Linked DNA regions of Cricetulus griseus. The protein of the gene in region 2 interacts with the protein of the main gene of each other region in a biochemical or structural test. Links are inferred from orthologs where the notes say so. Each region holds a gene or a part of one and is shown on either strand. Other genes may lie near its edges.

Evidence for each region.
Region 1: of the proteins of Card9 (region 2) and Trim62, one has a biochemical effect on the other in vitro, tested with the Homo sapiens proteins (4 studies listed by BioGRID, with this or other methods). The link is inferred for Cricetulus griseus from reciprocal best matches to the Homo sapiens genes CARD9 and TRIM62.

What each region holds. Positions count from the first base shown.
Region 1 is NC_048595.1:24,132,380-24,136,655, reverse strand, and holds the start of Trim62 (E3 ubiquitin-protein ligase TRIM62), read left to right. Parts: upstream 1-1,404; 5' UTR 1,405-1,515; exon of another isoform or gene 1,516-1,638; 5' UTR 1,639-2,058; coding exon 2,059-2,466; intron 2,467-4,276. UniProt on the Homo sapiens protein: E3 ubiquitin ligase that plays a role in antifungal immunity by mediating 'Lys-27'-linked ubiquitination of CARD9 downstream of C-type lectin receptors; leading to CARD9 activation, followed by activation of NF-kappa-B and MAP kinase p38 pathways.
Region 2 is NC_048599.1:137,740,697-137,744,339, forward strand, and holds part of Card9 (caspase recruitment domain-containing protein 9), read right to left. Parts: intron 3,040-3,643; coding exon 2,848-3,039; intron 2,390-2,847; coding exon 2,348-2,389; intron 1,926-2,347; coding exon 1,877-1,925; intron 595-1,876; coding exon 521-594; intron 1-520. UniProt on the Homo sapiens protein: Adapter protein that plays a key role in innate immune response against fungi by forming signaling complexes downstream of C-type lectin receptors.

The DNA of each region.
Region 1 (4,276 bases), on a different chromosome or scaffold from region 2:
TGCAGCTGCCTTTGAGTCACCCCTGCCCTTGTAACTAATTCCAATAAACTCGATGGTTCACTATACCTTGGGTGCCCTGTCTGGGGAGAATAAACCTTTGCTCATGTCTCTAGGTCCTCTCCATCATCCCCTTTTATCCACCACCACTTTTCATAGTGTCTATCTATTTTTAATCTGATGGCCTTCTCCTGACCCACAGTCAGCAGCTGAACTCAGAGCTGACCTCTTGCAGGCACTAGGACAGCCACTACCTCCCCAGGGCCCAGCCTTTCCTTCCTCCTGCAAGCCTCACCACAAGCAAGGGAAAGGATCCCTGCCTTCTCTGTCCTGATGATGTAATGAGTATCCATCACTTCAAGAAACCCAAACCAAGGCAGGTCATTTCCCTGCTTGGAAGCCCAGTGCCTTCAATGAATTCTTCACAAAGTCCTCTACACCTTTCACCTTCCAATCCCAGCCCAACAGCATGGACACCCAGTGTGCTTCCCTTTCATGCCGCTGTGTTTGCTCTCTCTCTCTCTCTCTCTCTCTCTCTCTCTCTCTCTCTCTCTCTTTCTCTCTCTCTCTCTCCTCTCCTCTCTCTTCTCTCTCTCTCCCCTCCTCTCTCTCCCTCTTCTCTCTCTCCCTTTTTCTCTCTCCCCTCCTCTCTCTCTCCCTCCTCTCTCTCTCCCTCTCTCCCCTCCTCTCTCTCTCTCCCTCTTCTCTCTCTCCCTCTCCCCCTCTCTTTCCCTCTTTCTCTCTCCCTCTCTCTTTCTCTCTCCCTCTCCCTCTCTCTTTCTCTCTCCCTCTCCCCCCTCTCACTCTTCCCTTCCTTCCCCCCCCTCACACACACACAGCTGCTTAGAAATCCCTTACCTCCCCTCTATCTGGCACAAAAGACAAGATCTCCCATTACACTTTTTCCTCACCACACCACACACACACACACACACACACACACACACACACACACACACACACACACACACGCAGCAATGAAGAAACATTTGATGAATGTCAAGAACCCTTGAGGCCACACATTAGCCAGGATTCAAGTGAAGAGGAAATAGGACCTGAGGGTTTCAGTGTGTGGTAGCTTTGAACTTAGTCTAAGCCGTCTCCAATTTTATACCTACAATCTATGCAAACGTTATATTACATTCAGACTACACAGCGTCTTCTTGTCTTAATACTCAGTATTATTTTCCTCAAATCTTGATGACCCAAAAATTGATTGTTCATTGAGAAGGTCCTTACTTAGGCGCTGGCCACCCGTCCCCTGTCGCCATAACCCTATGCAAACCTGGCAGCTGTGCAGACCCAGAAAGAAACAGCTGGTTTTCATGTCCCTGCGGACCAGGAGCACAGTGGAGGCCAGGGAGGCCCCGCCCCTCCCCCGCCCGCCGTGGGGGCGGAGTACCTTGGGTCCCGCCCGTGGGGGCGGAGAGGGAGCCTGGGCACCGGGCAGCTCGGCTCGGCTGGTTCCGGGTTGAGAGGCTGCGCTGGACCGAAGCTGTGGCCGCTGAGCTGGTTCGGGTAAGGGGCCGCGCGGGGCCGGGATCTGCGGCCAGGGTCGGGCAGCTGAGCGGGCCGGCACCCCTCCTCTGCTCTGCCGGGCAAAGCCGCGGTGCGGCTGAGTCTGGCTGCTCTGTCCCGCAGAATTCCCCATCCCCAGCTCGCCCCGCTCTCAGAGCTGCCCGGGTCCCAGGATTCCAGCCCCACCGTGGCCTCCGTCCCCCTTCGGGATCTCCTCCTCGCAGCACCTATCCCTTGGGACTGTCTGGTCCTCTAGACCCTCCTCGCCTGGAGCCCCTTCCTTGGGACGCCCTCGGCCTCTCTCCTCCAGCGCCCATCGCTGGTGGCCACCTAGTACCTCGAAACCGAGCTCCGGGGCTCGCATCCCTGGTGGCCCCTACTCGGCACCGAGCCACCGTGCCCCCCGCGTCGCAGACAGCGCCCCCCGCGCTCCCAGGCGCCTGTCGTCCGTGCCCCCGTGGGCCTGGCCCCCGGGTACCGCCCCCGATCGTGCCGCGCCGGCTGCCAGCCTCCCGGGCTCCGCTCCGCACCGCCCCCGGCGCCATGGCGTGCAGCCTCAAGGACGAGCTGCTGTGCTCCATCTGCCTGAGCATCTACCAGGACCCGGTGAGCCTGGGCTGCGAGCACTACTTCTGCCGCCGCTGCATCACCGAACACTGGGTGCGGCAGGAGGCACAGGGCGCCCGCGACTGCCCGGAGTGCCGGCGCACGTTCGCCGAGCCCGCGCTCGCGCCCAGCCTCAAGCTGGCCAACATCGTGGAGCGCTACAGCGCCTTCCCGCTGGACGCCATCCTCAACGCGCGCCGCGCTGCGCGACCCTGCCAGGCGCATGACAAGGTCAAGCTCTTCTGCCTCACGGACCGCGCGCTGCTCTGCTTCTTCTGTGACGAGCCCGCGCTGCACGAGCAGCACCAGGTCACCGGCATCGACGACGCCTTCGAGGAGTTGCAGGTGCGTGGCTGGCAGGCGGGGCGTGGGTGGGGTCAGGGTTCCAGTAGGGGGCAGGGGGTACACAGGCCGACTTAATGCCAGAGGGGCGTGGTTGCGGTGAGGGGCGGGGAAGGGGGCGTGGCCCTCGGGCATCTCTCTGTCGAATGGGCTTGAGACAGATCTGGGGTGGGAGTCCATGCCTCGGAGACAGATCCAGAGTGGGGTGGGAACGATGGGTAGAGAGGGAGTCACAGCTGGACCAGATGCTGGCTGAGGCAGAATGAGAGACATCGGCTCCTACGGGCTAGGGCAGGACCACTGTCACAGCTAGCGCGGCGTGGGGAGATGGGAAATGTGCTATTCTAAATGCAGCCACGGTGGCAGGTTTGGGGGCATTGTGGGGTGCGGCTTGCTGCTCCAGGTGTTCATAGAGATCTAGAGTGAGAATCGGGCCTTGGCTGTGCCAAGCAGGTGGGGGTTAAGTTTAAGACATGCAAATTGCCCAGAGGGCAGATTTGGATGCCAAGGGGTTAGGTCAAGGTGTGTGAGTATCTAAGGTTGGGAATCCAGTTCAAATATGGCAAGAGCCGTTTTGGATTTAAACCCGAGAAGGGGCCAATTGAGAGTGGAACTGGGAAATGAAACTTCAAGATTTGGAGACTTAGCCTCAAAGGTGATTGGGGAAGGTGAAGACAGGCCAGGGCTAGACAGGGCCTCTTGATGACCACTGTTGACTGTCATCTACATGAAAATCTTTGAGTATTCGATTGAATACAGCCTCCAACTGCAGTCAATCTCCCCTAAACCTCCCTGTTGTCACTGACAAGCATGTATGTACGTATGTATACACATACATATATATGCTTTTATAGAAAGGGAAATGCACATATAGAGAAATATAGTTACATACACATCCTATGTATATGACTATCTGCCATTTGCCTGCATGTATGTATGCACATAATGAACATGTGTGGTACCCAAGAGGACAGAAGAAGGTGTCAGATCCCCTGGAACTGGAGTCATCACTGGATGCTGGGAACCAAACCCAGGTCCTCTGCAAGAGCAATTAGCTGCTGACTTTAAAAGGAAGCATTCCAACCGAGATCAGCTTTATTGGGATAATACACCATATCTCCCACAGCCTCCCCATTAGACAAATCTCGGTTACAGGTTACACATTTACCTGCTAAAGGCTTGGAGAAATCTTGAAGGAAAGATACCCCCTTAAGTTGATTTAACAAAGTGATTCCCAGGCTCGTTTGAATCCTTTTTACAAGCTGACCTATTTCAATCCAGCAATTATCCTCCCTGGCTTTGGGTTTCCTTGGTAGTTTATTGCCTCCCCGACATGGTGGATGAATGAATGAGTGAATGAATGAATGACCTAGCTTGGTCTAAGCTGGCCCAAACTAGAGGATTCAGAAGTGGAAGATGTTTTTACTTTATTTAAAAAAAAAAAAGCATGGCAAAAAAAAGCATGGCAGTGGTGGTGCATACCTTTTAGTTCCAGCACTCAGGAGAAAGAGGCAGGAAGATCTCTGTGAGCTCTAGGCCAGTCTGTCTACAGAGTAAGTTCCAGGATAGCCTGGGTTACCCAGAGAAACCCTATCTTGAAAAAAAAAAAAGGGGTCAGCTAACTTTGGAGTAGTGAGTTCTTCATTCCCTGCCTGGACCTTGCTGAGGCTTACCTGGAAAGAACTTACTTGAAGGGCTAGCCAGGGTAGGACCAACATCACCTGTTCCCTCCTTCCTCCTCCTGAGATCTCTGGAGAATGCATGTGCCCTGCTGGCTAAACTTCCAGCCACACCTCTCTCACCTGAGAAGGAG
Region 2 (3,643 bases):
CAGAAGAGGGATAGGTGGGGCTAGTATTCAGAGAGAATAAGTAGTAGGTGGAACCCAGGCTTGAGAGAGAAGAGAATGGGTGAGAAAGACCAGACAGACAGACACAGAGGAAGCAGGAAAAGTAGGACATGCAGAATGAAAGGCAAAAAGCCCCGAGGCAAAACATAGATGAAGAGAAACAGGTTGAATTAAGTTATAAGACCTAGTAGGACAAGAATAAGGCTGAACATTGATAACTAATAAGTTTCCACATCATTTGGGATCTGGTTAGCCACCCAGAGAAAGCCTGATACACTTCTTTTGCTGCATGGGGGTCCTTTCATGTTGCTCCCACCCCATCCAACCACCATACATCTAGAGGTCTGTCCAAGAAGGGGGGTCTCCACTTCATGTACCAAACACTACCCAAACATTATATCACATGCATGCACCTTGTGATCCCTAGTTGTCCAGGGGTACAGGTGGAGTCACCTTCCTCCCCTTGAGTCACCAAGGTTCTGGGGGCCCCAGTCAGCCTTACATGGGTTTGTGAAAGCTGCTCCTTGCTCTGAGCCACGAAGGGCTGCTCTGGGCTCTCCCTGTCTGCCAGGACACCTGAAAGGAAGAGCTGTGTGTTGGGGGGAGGCATTTGGCATGGCCACCACCTCCCTCTGCTAACAGCCCCACTAGCACTAGTCCTTATGAGCTGGGATCCTCAGGCAAGTCCAGTGGAGACTGCATTTCCTAAGACAGGGACAGGCTGAGCCAGCTTTTGGCTGCCAGGAGTACTCAACAGGGCTCCTACCATCACTCACCCACCCACACCTTTCAAGTTGACTGTCACCAAACATACAAGGGTGGATGGGTAGGAAAGACTCTTGGTCTCCAGGACAGTTTGCTCATGCATGTCCCAGGCCATGTTCCTGTTGGCTTGGCAACAGGAACATCTCCTTTATGTGCCTAGTGGTGATCTCAGGACCTCTGGAGGTGAGAGCAAGTACACTATATTAGTTAGACCAGACTAGGTGGGAAGAGCACGGCTCAAGTCTCCAGGTAGGTGTCCAGGGAGGGCTATGAACCTCAAGAAACAGTTATACCTCAAGAAACAGTTATACTCAGAGTACGAGAGCAACCAGCAGACCTATCCCCTACCCCTCTCATTTTCATGAACTCCTGGCATGCTTTTCAGGGAGCTGGCTGTTCTTGGGTTCTCCTCCTTTTGTGCCCACATGGAGCTCAGTGGCCTCAACTTGGTTCCTGGGGGCTACAGTGGGTGAGCCACCTCTACACTTCTCCATCCGCACCACTTGTTCCCCTTTTGCCTTTGGTTAAAGCCCGGGGTGGAGGAAGTCTGTCTAACTTCTCACGAAAGCTCTCAGGATTCCTCCTCCCTGTACCAGACCCCCACCTCCTACCTCCAGCTACTTCAGGACAGTGTTCTCACCAGCTCCCCCAACTGTCACCCCCAGGACTAATGAGCCAACACTCAGATCAGAGGAGAGTCCTGTTTGGCAGCCTGCTACTGTGGATAGCATACCCCTATCTCCTTGCTTGCTGCTCTGTCCATAGCACCATCTCTTACTTCCTCACTGAGCACACCTGGATACTGGCTAGTATATCCCTCTGCCCTCTGAGCCACAGACCCTGAGACCTAAGCCCCATGTTCAAATCAGATTCCTTATTCTCTGGGTGTGTTAGCCTAAAAATTTAGCCCTTCACCACTGCCATTCCGTGCCTCAGTTCTTCCGTCCCTGGAGTGGTGACTACTGAGACAGAGTAAGTCACACAACTCTGTGTGCTAAGGATGGGCCAGGGCTCTGGGAGGCCAGGAGACTACAGCCCAGGTGCCTTAGGGGTAGGGGAGGTTCTGGAAGAGCATGGTACCCCCCCTCCTCACCTTTGTCTGAGAGCTGGGCATCCTCCTCCAGATCCTGAGGCAGTGAGAGCTTCCAGACAGAGACATGCCACCCAGTTAGGCCATGGTACAAGCCACCATTGTCCTTCCAGTGGCCGACCCCACTGCCCACTTGACTTTAGCTTCTCAGTTGGTACAGCCATCACTGTCACCCCTCTGCACAGAGATCCTCAGAGACTCAGTGCCAGCCAGGCCAACGGTCAAAGGGAACCCTAGCATAAAGTTCCTGTCCTAAGAGGCCAGGCTGTGGGCATTGGATGGTGCCTCACTTTGCTCACAAACAAAGGCCTCAGAATTTGGTCAGCACTCTTCCCTGTATCCAACCCAAAAGGAGAGAGAAGGGACAGCCCAGTTCAGGTGAACAGGACCATGTGGGAGATGAGTGTGGGGTCAGAGGGAGGTTGCAGGCCTGGAAGAGGCCCACTCTGTGCCCACCCATTGGATCACACTCACCTCCTGGGAGTTCCTGGGTGAAGTGTCCTCCAGGTCAGAGCTCTGTAGCCACAGAAAAGGGAATTGGTCAGTGGGCTACAGGGTTCTAAGCACCTGGGCAGGGGGTGTGCAAGGCATGGTGAGGGCTCCATCCTCTAGGCAGGCCCTGCATGCTCAGTCATGCCCGTACGTCTCTTCAGGACCCTGCCCAAAACATCTGTCTTTCTTAATTCTACTCTACTAAGCCACCTGAATGATCAAGGCCGCTGTCCTATGTGCTGACTGGACCTTGAGTTACATATATGTCTATCACTGACATGAGGAGCTCCAAAGAGGAAAAAGAACTCAGGAAGGCCCAGGCATTTTTTGGAAGCCACAAGCAGGTCACCAGCCGTGCCAGGTTAGGAATGGGGATGCCCCTAGGCTGCATGATCCCTCTTGGAATCTTGCCCTGACCCCATGTCCTCCCCAGTTCCCTCACTTCCCAGACCGCCCAAGATACAGCAGACAGGGAGACCTACCAGGATGAGCATGTCCAGCTGCTGCTGCTTGAGTCTGCCCTCGGCGGCCACTAACCGGCCCTCACTCTGGAACAACTGCAGCTGCAACTCGTCTGCCTTCTCACTCAGCTCTCGAACCTGCTTTCGAAGCTCGTCTTTGTCCTGAAAGCTCTGGGCACACTGTGCATGCAGCTCTTCCCTCGAGGCCATAGCCTGTAGGGACAAGAGAGGGCACACCCTCATTAAGAGACCTGGTTAGTGGTGCTCTTGGCTTTTATTTGGCAGTACAAACGGCAGCCTCTACTAAAGGTCCTGACTGGATGTTTGCCACCCTGTTGTGCAGTTGGAGTTGCTGAACTGGAGGGGTTCTCAAAGCAGTCGGGGCTCTCAGTACAGAAGAACAGACACTGGGTGGGGCAACACATACCCAGCATCCTTGCATTTGGGAGGCAGAAGCAGGATCAGTAGTTCAAGGTCGTCTTTGGACATACTTTGAGTCAAGGCTACATAAGACACTGTCTCAGAACAATCAAAAATAAATAAAATTAATTTAAAAAGAAAAACTCCAAAAAGAAGCAGCTGAAATGACCATGGCCAACACTCAAGATAGTTCCTAGGGAAGTCCAACCAAGAAGTCAAACATCCCTAGTCAGTATGTGTCTCTGTCCCACCCATGTGGCATGTTTTCAAGTTCTGGATGCATCTTGACATCAAGAATATGATCACTGGGCGGTGGTGGCACACGCCTTTAATCCCACCACTGGGGAGGCAGAGGCAGGCGGATCTCTGTGAGTTGGAGGCCAGCCTGGTCTACAAA